Linked DNA regions of Saccharomyces cerevisiae S288C. The protein of the gene in region 1 binds, or shares a complex with, the protein of each later gene. Each region holds a gene or a part of one and is shown in the gene's direction. Other genes may lie near its edges. The genes, in order: MRP21, RSM19, MRPS18 and MRPS16.

Region 1 (2,895 bases):
GAGCTGAAGTATTACATATTAGTAACCTGTTGCATCGCACCAAAAAAGGTAGCAAAGTTTCCCGCACACTAGCAATTCTCGTCAAACATACCCTTGAACACCAGCTTTTCTGGCACTATTCTCATTGTTTACTCGTCTGAACTAGTGCTTATATTATCTGTCGTCATACCACTGTTTGAGACCCCCATAGGTCTTATATAAGGTAATGCATCATTCTAAACGGGCGGCAAGCCATATTAAACTATCTATATAACTACAACAGTATTCATATACCTAGTGAGGAGGCCATTTGAAAGCGCATTTTACCTCAGTAGTCATCACCTTTCGAAACGACTTCCTTTTTGTGAGCATGCAACAAGATGGTGTGTTCGAATTGTGCAGTGTAGGATCCGGGGATATCGTTCAATGGTGGATAATCCTGTACTAAACCGTGTCTAACCAAGTTATTCAACGCAAATAAGTATTTCTCTTGGCCAAGTCTGTCTAGGTATCGGCGACAGAACGGTAAAGTCCCAAAGTTGCGGTCTATCGTTTTTAACAAGTTCTTGGCGCTGTCTAACGTGGGCATTACCTGATGGTCTTCAGCAGATCTGGCATAATGAGAAACTTCCCCACCGGCAGTAACATAACCTCTACCAGTAGAACCAAAAGTTTCAATGGCAAAGTGCTCACCTTCCTCCATTTTTGTAGTGTCCCCATTTTTGACGATGGGAACGGATTTACCGCCGTGGATACGATATGGTGCGATACTGTGGCCACATAGATTACGACAAGGTTTAACCTGGTAAGTCTCACCATTGATTTCCACTTCGTAGGATTCCATAACTTCTTGGATGGCTTCACCGATGTCGGTTAATCTCACATCGATACCCGCTTCTTTAATACCCGTGTAAGTAGCGTCCTTTACAGCGGCTAGCAGGTTATCGTATTGTGGATCAAAGGAAACAGTAAAGGCAGAATCAATGATGTTACCGTTTACCTGCACACCATAATCTACCTTCATCACGTCTTCGTATTTCAGAACGGTTTTGTCGCCTGCATTGGGTGTGAAATGTGCAGCACAATGGTTGAGAGAGAGACCCGTTGGAAACCCAATACCTTGAGATTTGGGATCCTCCATCGCTAATAAATTTTCGGCACCTGTATACTTTCTTGTAGTATTTTCGATCATGTCAGCGATATCCATTAACTTCATCCCAGGAACGATTCTGTCCTTGATGGCCCTTCTCACACGACGATGTATCTCAGCACCCTTTCTGACATCATTCCAATGTTCGGCCCTTTCCAGATCCCTTTTCAAATAACGTGATTCTTCATCCGTGGTTCTTTGCAGATTGAAATCTTGATGATAGTCCATCCACGCACCTTCTGGGTACTTTCCATCTGGAAACAGTAATTCAATCTTCTTCACATTGCTTTTCTTCTTCTTCTTTTTCTTGTTCTTCTTCTTTTTGCTTTCTACTGGGTCTGACTCGTCAGCTTTTGCCTGGTCTTGCTGTTCAACGCCTTCATTCTCCAAATTCAATTCTTTTAAATCAGAAGCAGGGGAATTTTCTATTTCAGCGTCTGTCATTTTTCAATACGGTAGAGCTTCTACAGTACTTGTTGATGTAAAAGCCCACTTATTAGCTTCTTGCTATGGCTTCCTTTCTTTTTTAAGTTCGCTTCTTTCCCAAGATTGAAAATAAAAAATAAGTGAGACCAGGTCATTAAAGGTCCCTTGAAGAGTAAAAAATCTGTCAAATATCACCCATAAGAGCATAACCATAATGTTGAAGAGCACGCTGAGGCTTTCAAGAATCTCTCTCAGAAGAGGTTTCACAACGATCGACTGTTTACGCCAACAAAATTCGGATATCGATAAAATCATACTAAATCCAATCAAATTAGCTCAGGGAAGCAACAGCGATCGTGGCCAAACCTCTAAAAGCAAAACTGATAATGCAGATATTTTATCAATGGAAATTCCAGTAGATATGATGCAATCTGCTGGGAGAATAAACAAGAGGGAGCTTCTATCCGAGGCGGAAATTGCTAGAAGTAGCGTGGAGAATGCACAAATGAGATTCAATTCTGGAAAATCTATAATCGTGAATAAGAACAACCCTGCAGAATCATTTAAGAGATTAAACAGGATCATGTTTGAGAACAATATTCCCGGAGATAAAAGAAGTCAACGGTTTTACATGAAGCCGGGGAAAGTGGCTGAATTGAAGAGATCTCAAAGGCATAGGAAGGAATTCATGATGGGCTTCAAGAGGTTGATTGAAATTGTTAAAGATGCCAAGAGGAAAGGATACTAATCGTACCATCAACTCTTGAATATTGTGAAATTTTCGCCATTGATTTCCGTCTTTGTAAATAGGTAATGCGTAACTATTTAGTTAAATTTTTGTATATTTTTTATTCTATGACTTCACTTATCCATTATTTCCATCGTCAAAAAAAGGAAATAAATACTGTTGCTCGAACGAACAGCAAGATAAAGTGGAAACGAAAAGTAAGCAGCTTCCTCAATATGCCGTCAAACGTACGTTCGGGAGTCTTAACTTTGCTCCATACAGCATGTGGAGCAGGCGTACTTGCAATGCCGTTTGCATTCAAGCCATTTGGGTTAATGCCTGGTCTGATAACGCTAACATTTTGCGGAATATGTTCCTTATGTGGGCTGCTATTACAGACTCGAATAGCGAAGTACGTACCTAAATCTGAGAACGCCTCGTTTGCTAAACTCACCCAACTAATCAATCCGTCAATAAGTGTAGTGTTCGATTTTGCCATTGCTGTTAAATGTTTTGGCGTTGGTGTATCTTACTTAATTATTGTTGGTGACTTAGTGCCACAGATAGTGCAGTCAATTTTTTATCGTAACGATGATAACATGAGTGGTTCGCA
Region 2 (2,536 bases), on another chromosome or scaffold:
TTGTTTGAATTGACAGAATTAATACTCACCGCCAAATTTTGAAGGTTTTTCAATACGCTGGATTGTGAGCGAGATTCACAGATAAGTTGTAGTAACTTGCTTAATCTGATAGACGATTCATTTGATTTAACGAAAATCAAAATCTTTGCAGCAATGGGGGAATGTGCCATAAATTGGCATATTGAATACAACAATATCAATGGCTTGTAAACACTTTTCGCCGTGGGAATGTTGATGTTAAATTCATTCAATTTGTTAGGTAGCTGGTACAATTTATCGGTTTGCTTCAGGAACAACTTTGGTTTGTAAAGGTTCAAGCCGTTTAACTTTTCTGTGTTGGTAGTCAATGTCGCACTGAAGATCATTTTGATCACGTTCCCTGGAAGTGTATCTAATTTATCCGTTTTCAAATGGGACATTAGTTTTGGACACCAGCCCTGGAAGGACTGGTTCAAAAGACGATCAGCCTCATCGATAATCAAAAACTTTAGGTTTTTCAAATTTATCGATTTCATATTTAGATGATCTACTAATCTACCAGGTGTAGTGATTAAGATATCTGGTTCCAAATTTGATAATTTTTTGTGTTCGTCCTTCAAAGAATTTTCTAATTTGGCAATGCTCACAATAAGCGACGTCCCTTGAGTTAGCTTTGTCAACGTAGTATAAACTTGGTTTATCAATAGTTTTGTGGGGACGATGATTATACAACGCAGTCTGTTAATTTGTCTCTTGAAGAGGGTTTGAACAATAGGAATGGAGTAAGCCAAAGTTTTACCTGAACCGGTAGCAGCATTTACAAGAATATCACCGATTCTTCTGGTGAAGTTTCTCTTAGATACGTTCAACGTGAAGTTCAATACCGGTAATATGGAGTCTAGGATGATCGATTGGATGGGAAAAGTGTTTGTAGAGAAATTCTTGCAAATATTCTGCAGTAGTTTTGCTTCTAATTCATTTGCGTAATCCGAGAACGGTTTGATCAAGGAATTATCATAATATATCTTCTCAGTATTTAACCAACCCGTAGATTTGAACTGTAATGAATTTGTATTCAAATTCATTGGGTTTTTGACGAATTCAGGTTGAGGAATCTGTTTTAGTTGGTGAGTTGAGGCCGCCTCGTCTTCAATACCTTCGTCTTCCTTACTCTCAGCAATATCAGATGCACCTAGCCTTTCTTGCAATGATACTGTTTGCTTGAATCTCGATAGCACTGTGCTGTGAGTACTTGGCTTACTCTCTTCCTCTTCCACTTCACTCGAATCCTCTTCACTAGCCCCATAATCTACTTGCATACGGTCTTCGTCTTCCTCTGAACTAGAGTTGGAACTCTCATCAGAATCTTGGTGAGAGCCATATTCTTCATTATCAGATTCAGTAGCCTGCCTCTTTAAAGGCACAATGGCCGGGGGAGTAGTTCCGACGATTCCTTCTGGTGCGCTAGCTGCAGGAGCAGTCAATTGGCTAGGGTCAAATCTCGATGCAAACATTGTCACTACCGGTCACCAATGGTAAAGGTGTCCAGTTTCGAGCACATCTCATCGCCAGTTATGCTTTCTATATAATACAAATCTGCAATAATTTTTCAAATTTTAAGCATCACCCGGCATTAGCGTTTGGATCACTATTCACGGTTATGGCTGAGCAAGAAATGGCAATTGGAAGCGCCTAGTAAGAATCTAACCATGACTTAAAACGGTGAGGTTCATTGCAAGAGCAGTACAGCATCGGCAGAAGTAGTGTCCACCAAAAATAAAATGCAACCGGCAGCTAGACTTTTATCGCGGTCCGTATGGAAGGGCCCCAACATCGTGCCATTACCCATAAGGGAGGCCATGACTAAGGGCACTCCAATAAGAACAAACGCAAGGGCCGCCACCATCCTTCCTCAGTTCGTGGGACTGAAATTTCAAATACACAATGGTAAGGAGTACGTACCTATTGAAATATCAGAAGATATGGTGGGCCACAAACTGGGCGAGTTCGCACCTACCAGGAAGCGTTTCAGCTATACTCAAACCAAGAACAAATGAGGGATCTAGTGTATATAGATTTCTAGATGATATATCATGTAAATAAGATCAAGCCAGACTCGGGCTGTATATATATATATATATAGCATAATAAACAGTAATAGTGCTTTTAAAAGCATTTCAGTCTTACCCGAGCGACAAAACGATTTGGGGAGAAAAAACGCATATAACCAGGGAAAAGACGGAGAACTTACAGGTACACCAGAATTGAAGCAGGCCAACAAGAGCCATGTTGTCGAGGTTTATGTCCAACACATGGTGTACGCCCTTGAGACAGGCGCAGAGATTGTTTTCCTCCACTACGACAATGCAAGCGACATTGAATCAGATTAAAAGAGGCTCCGGGCCTCCAAGACGCAAGAAGATAAGTACAGCTCCACAACTGGATCAGTGTCCCCAGCGGAAGGGTGTCGTATTACGTGTAATGGTTTTAAAGCCCAAGAAGCCGAATTCTGCGCAGAGAAAGGCGTGCAGGGTCCGTTTGACTAACGGGAACGTGG
Region 3 (2,717 bases), on another chromosome or scaffold:
TAAAGAACTGATGGGCAAGGATTCTTCTTGGAGACAGTCTTTGTTGTGGTTCGTAGACCAATATTTTCATCAAAAGATCGATACCATCTGGACCGGAATGGCCAAAATACTTCTCAAACCTCTGTTGCGAAGAGCCCGAGAACAGTGGTTTGGAAAATAGAGGGCCATCGTAGGCCGGATTCGAAAAGAAAATGAATCTTTTATCGGGAGGACCTAACAATTTAGCAATTTCCCTTAGCTGTAGAAGGGGTTCTTGACCTTGAAATATGGCTTTGCCGATAAGCATCTCGCCCATGACACAACCAAGCCCCCATATATCGATCTGGGTGGTATATTGGGTACAACCAATGATCAATTCAGGCGCTCTATAAAATCTTGAACAGATGTAACTAATTGAAGGCTGGTTATGTTCCAATTTTTTGGCAGACCCAAAATCGCAGATTTTCAAGACACCGGTTTCCGGGTCTACAAGAACATTGGATGGTTTGATATCACGATGACAAACGCCAAGACCGTGTAAATAAAGCATCCCGCGGGCAATCTGATAAGTGTATAGCCTGATATGTTTTAATGGCATTTCTAGCTTGTTTGTCACATAACGATTAATCTCGATTTGTAGAGTTTCTGGTAAGCATTCCATGGCAAGGTGTTGATAAACTTTATTATCTTGCGGGGACAAATGAGTAAAGAAATACTGCAATTTAACGATATTTGGATGGTCGGCAATCCTCAGAATCTGTAATTCCCTGGACTTGTACTCGGTATGAGCAGGGACTTTTTTAATTGCAAAGGGGCCCAACCAGTTTTTCTTATCCTGGGTTAAATATGCTTGTACAACAGTCCCAAAGGCACCTCTACCGATTTTCCTGTACTCTTTCACCAGCATCCGCCTCGTGTTGTTCGATTTATTCGAGGTTACATCGTCTGCAATGAATTCAGATCCCCTTTGCAGAGGAACACCATTCTGCTCTTCCGTAGACATATGTACTAGAATGTGATGGAGTGGGGGTTTCGGAAAATAAAAAGAAAATTGAAAGATGAAGCAAAGAACTCTGTAGTCTTGGGCTTAACTCCTATCAATAAACACGTTACGGGCCTGCCCACACTACTAACACGACACAATGGCACTCACTTGCGAAATCTATGTCGTTTTCCCTTGGAGGTTACGCCTGCCCTCTTCCGCATATGAAGGTCGCTTTTTTCAGTGTTGTTTGTGGGTCACTGAACTGTCATTACATACGAACTGAGTGGAAGCAAGAATGCTGCTTTCGAAAGCCACTACAGCTACGTGTGATCATATAATTCCTGCATAATATGGCTGCATGCTTTTTAATGATAGCTTCAATTATGATGATAATCACTGAGCTACTAGTATTCCATTATTCAGCCTAAGATTGGAACTTTCTATAGCAGCGGAGAGTGTTTGTTTCGTACTTCGTGACTGTTTGGCATAATAACGATGAATTGGGAAAGAGGGAAGACAAAATGAGAGTAAATCAGGTGGAAAGCAGTGGTTCTTCTGAAAAGAAAAAGTGACAGTGTGAACTGTTATAGTTACGTGTGATGCTGTTACAACCTGTTTGGAAAGGCTGCCGATGGACGCAGTTTGTCAGGCCTATCAGAAGATGGAATTCTACCGGCACGAATAGAGGAGTTCCTTTTTCATTTAAGGATATTTCAAATCAGGAGGATATCACGAATATCTCGTATCCTTCGTCCTCTGACTCAGTTTTGACAAAGTCAAATGGTAGTAGTGAGGTTTACAAGCCCAAAGAGGAAGTAGTTAAGTACATTCTACATGGCAAGTTTACTAAAAATAACACGCATTTGACATTTTCAAGCGTTGTGGAGGACAAGAACTTTCATAAGAATAAGGGACTTACGTATAATGATACAATGCTGTACTATTTGAACTTACCCCAGAAAGTGAAGATTTCGCTATCTACAGGTTGTTTAGGGTTTAGGAAGGCAGCAAGAGGGGAGTATGAAGCTGCATTTCAAACCAGTGGTAGAATGTTTGAATTGATTAAGGAAAAGAACATGCTGAACAAAGATATCGAAGTGGTGATGGACGACTTTGGGAAGGGCAGAGCTGCTTTTATTTCCGCTCTTGTTGGTAAGGAAGGGGCCAGTGTGGTGAAAAAGGTTGTGAAGATCAGCGATGCCACCAAATTGAAGTTTGGTGGTGTAAGATCACCAAAGATGAGAAGACTATGATCAGCTCCCACTATGTATGAATTATAAACTATGTAAAAGAAGAAGAAATATATATATATTCGTGTAAATAATTCGATTTTTCCCTTTTTTTAATTGTCGTCGTTAGAGTTGGCCAAAATCCTTAAAATAGACAAAAACAAATTGACGATGTCCAGGTAAAGCATCATGGCGCATCTAACTTCTTCATCAGGATACACTTTCCTAAAAATCAGTTGCGTATCGATGAAAAGATACGCGGTAAATAAAATGGCACCAAGCCAGCCGTAAAGCAGATTAAACTTGGAAGAGTGGGTATTCCAGCCGAAAAGCAAGGCCGTGAGACCCATTCCGATCATAATCCATAGACCCCAGTTTAACCAATAGTATATTGACGTTGCGGAATTCAGCACGTTCTCGAATCTCTCTGATAGTGCGGTCAAGGAAACGCCGACTACGACGATGGTGGTGATCAGCAGAGCCGAAAGTACTGTATCCTTATCGTACGCTAAGGTTACCAGCGA
Region 4 (2,512 bases), on another chromosome or scaffold:
ATTTCATCTACGTTTTTGAAAACTTTCTCATCCACACTTGGTGTATACAATAACAAATCATCTTTAACAGACTCAGAAAGGATTGAGATAAGACATTGAGAGGCAGCTTGGTACACTTCTGGAGTTTCACTAGCTAAATATGTGCACATAATGTGAAATACACCAGGAATTTTACGTAGCGCTTTCAGTGGTTGATGTGTTGCGTAAGTGGACATACCCTTAATGACCACAGCAATCCAGGACTTGGTTAATAATGTATCGACATTTGAGGGTTTTAATGCAAAAATGGTATCCAAGACTCTTAGGTACTTATTTTCAGCCAATCCAGAAGAAATGGTAGTTTCTGCCATTGTTTTGAACATGCTTTCAAAACATTCAAATGATGCAGAAACGAGATATTGCTCTGAGCTTTTGGTGACTCCCAATAGTACATCACAAAGAGGCTCAATCTGTGAAGATGGCCACTGTCCAGTAGAGACGACTGAAGTAATCAACCTTAGAGAGCGCATGACACTAGCGTTAATGTCTTCCTTTGTTTTCTGTGCTTTCAATTGTTTATTTGATAAATTCGAGAGATCATTTAAAATACCTGCTAACTGCTTGTCACAGAAATCTGCTACAAAAACTGCCGCTACATGCTCTGCAGTTGGTGCAACAGGAGGGTTTAATAAGACCGCATGAACTGCATCTAGCGCTCTCTTTCTAACTTTTGGTCTTACATCTAAAGAAAGTTCAAGTATACCCTGCAAACCTCTTTTTGGAGTGACGTTTAGATCATAAGTATTGTTCCAGGCTTGTGCATCTTGAGCAATAAGAAGAGATTCTAAACAACCAATAGCAGCTCTAATTAGAGGGGCATTAGCCTTTTCTGCAGTGATACATGGGGCAATTTTCGTTAGGATTTCAGAAAACTTCGATCTTAATAATACCTTAGGCGAATAATGAAATATCAGATCTAGAAGATATGTAGATGAGGAAGCCAATTGAATATCTTTTATTTCATGAGTAGATGGGTCTACTGCTTGATCCAATAGTGACATAAAGGAAATGATATAATTTACAATGTTTTTTGAAACATCATTTGTAGCTTGACCTGCAATATTTTCCTCAACGGCAGTTAATATTATAGCAATATGCTTTTGATTCTCCAATTTAGAGTTTACTTGGGAACGAATTTTAGCCAGCTTGTCCTCCAGCTCTAAAAGAAAAGCAACTTTGTCTTGATCCATGATGAACTCTGAGATTTGCTGATTCAATTCGCGAGATGCTGTTCAAAATCTAGAAATTACCTGGTTGAATTCAATCAGTAAAAAAATAAGTTGAACCTTTTCAAACTAAAACTCTTCTCTGAGAGAATTAACTGCGACCGAGGAAGTTCTAATTGCGCGATGAGATGAGATGATATAATTAAAATTTTAAACACTGCAGCGAAAAGAAAAATTTTCACTAATTATGATCATCTATCATTCAGGACGGAAAAAATGAAATAGTACACCAAGAACAGTTGTAAGAAAAAAGGAAGGGGAATATATACACGACTTAAGTAACGGAGGAGTTCTGACTGGTATTCCGTTAAGAAATTGTAATAGAGTTTATCAAGTATGACCTGTGGTCTAGTACGAATAAGGTTAGCTAGATTTGGAAGAAAAAATAGTCCGGTCTATAATATCGTAGTGGCTAATTCCCGTAAGGCGAGGGATGCTAAACCGATCGAGGTACTAGGAACCTACGTGCCGGTACCCAGCCCAGTGACCAAGAGAGAATTGAAGAGGGGCGTTGTACCTATTAAAGACGTGAAGCTTGATTTTGATAGAACAAAATATTGGATTGGTGTGGGAGCACAACCTAGCGAAACAGTTACTAAACTATTACGAAAGGCTGGTATATTAAATGATGCATGGGCCACTAGTAAGAACAGCAATGTGAATAGGAAAGTTGTATTTGAAAGAATGGAAACATTGGAGTGAAAAAGATCGGAAAAAAAAAAAAAAAGAAAAAGAAAGGAAAGCAAAGGAACGTGTTTTAATTGATGCGAGGTGTATATGTATATGTTGTATATATGTTTTACTTGGCGCTTTTATATCTATCAGACTTGTAAATAATACATCTATGGCCAACCAGAAAATGGAGAATGAGACTTGAAATGGAATAAATTAAATTCTTAATCGAATGTGAAGAAAAGAGAAAGTGTAATAGAATTTCATTAAGATAGTGTCATTATAGGTCATGTATTGTGTGCTCCTGACTGTTCGGCACTATTTACCTTTTAAGACGCAATAAATCTCTTTTTAGCTTCAATGATTCATTTGGTAAAATAGAGGATTCTTCAGTGGACACGTTTGCTGTAGGTAAACGAGTACTAGCTAAGGGGGACGATATGATATTGCTACGTTGTCTCGATAGCAGAGCTATGTTAAAATTAAATGCGGAATCTGTTGTAGGCGTTGGCGTGAGTAAAGAAAAGGCATTACTGTTGCTAACACTATTGTTAGAATTTGTGCGGGCTAAGATA

What was found.
Region 2: MRP21 (region 1) and RSM19 share a complex: the UniProt entries of both Saccharomyces cerevisiae proteins name them as parts of the mitochondrial small ribosomal subunit.
Region 3: MRP21 (region 1) and MRPS18 share a complex: the UniProt entries of both Saccharomyces cerevisiae proteins name them as parts of the mitochondrial small ribosomal subunit.
Region 4: MRP21 (region 1) and MRPS16 share a complex: the UniProt entries of both Saccharomyces cerevisiae proteins name them as parts of the mitochondrial small ribosomal subunit.

What each region holds. Positions count from the first base shown.
Region 1 is NC_001134.8:47,056-49,950, forward strand, and holds MRP21 (mitochondrial 37S ribosomal protein bS21m MRP21), read left to right. Parts: upstream 1-1,769; coding exon 1,770-2,303; downstream 2,304-2,895. Other genes in the region: phospholipid metabolism-regulating protein SCS22, read right to left, coding at 1-3, 92-125; MAP2 (methionine aminopeptidase), read right to left, coding at 308-1,573; AVT5 (amino acid transporter), read left to right, coding at 2,519-2,895. UniProt on the Saccharomyces cerevisiae protein: Component of the mitochondrial ribosome (mitoribosome), a dedicated translation machinery responsible for the synthesis of mitochondrial genome-encoded proteins, including at least some of the essential transmembrane subunits of the mitochondrial respiratory chain.
Region 2 is NC_001146.8:694,552-697,087, reverse strand, and holds RSM19 (mitochondrial 37S ribosomal protein uS19m RSM19), read left to right. Parts: upstream 1-1,760; coding exon 1,761-2,036; downstream 2,037-2,536. Other genes in the region: putative ATP-dependent RNA helicase DBP6, read right to left, coding at 1-1,493; mitochondrial 37S ribosomal protein uS12m MRPS12, read left to right, coding at 2,266-2,536. UniProt on the Saccharomyces cerevisiae protein: Component of the mitochondrial ribosome (mitoribosome), a dedicated translation machinery responsible for the synthesis of mitochondrial genome-encoded proteins, including at least some of the essential transmembrane subunits of the mitochondrial respiratory chain.
Region 3 is NC_001146.8:56,592-59,308, forward strand, and holds MRPS18 (mitochondrial 37S ribosomal protein uS11m MRPS18), read left to right. Parts: upstream 1-1,563; coding exon 1,564-2,217; downstream 2,218-2,717. Other genes in the region: serine/threonine/tyrosine protein kinase MCK1, read right to left, coding at 1-982; BXI1 (Bxi1p), read right to left, coding at 2,307-2,717. UniProt on the Saccharomyces cerevisiae protein: Component of the mitochondrial ribosome (mitoribosome), a dedicated translation machinery responsible for the synthesis of mitochondrial genome-encoded proteins, including at least some of the essential transmembrane subunits of the mitochondrial respiratory chain.
Region 4 is NC_001148.4:528,440-530,951, reverse strand, and holds MRPS16 (mitochondrial 37S ribosomal protein bS16m MRPS16), read left to right. Parts: upstream 1-1,601; coding exon 1,602-1,967; downstream 1,968-2,512. Other genes in the region: mRNA-binding protein RRP12, read right to left, coding at 1-1,229; CIP1 (Cip1p), read right to left, coding at 2,260-2,512. UniProt on the Saccharomyces cerevisiae protein: Component of the mitochondrial ribosome (mitoribosome), a dedicated translation machinery responsible for the synthesis of mitochondrial genome-encoded proteins, including at least some of the essential transmembrane subunits of the mitochondrial respiratory chain.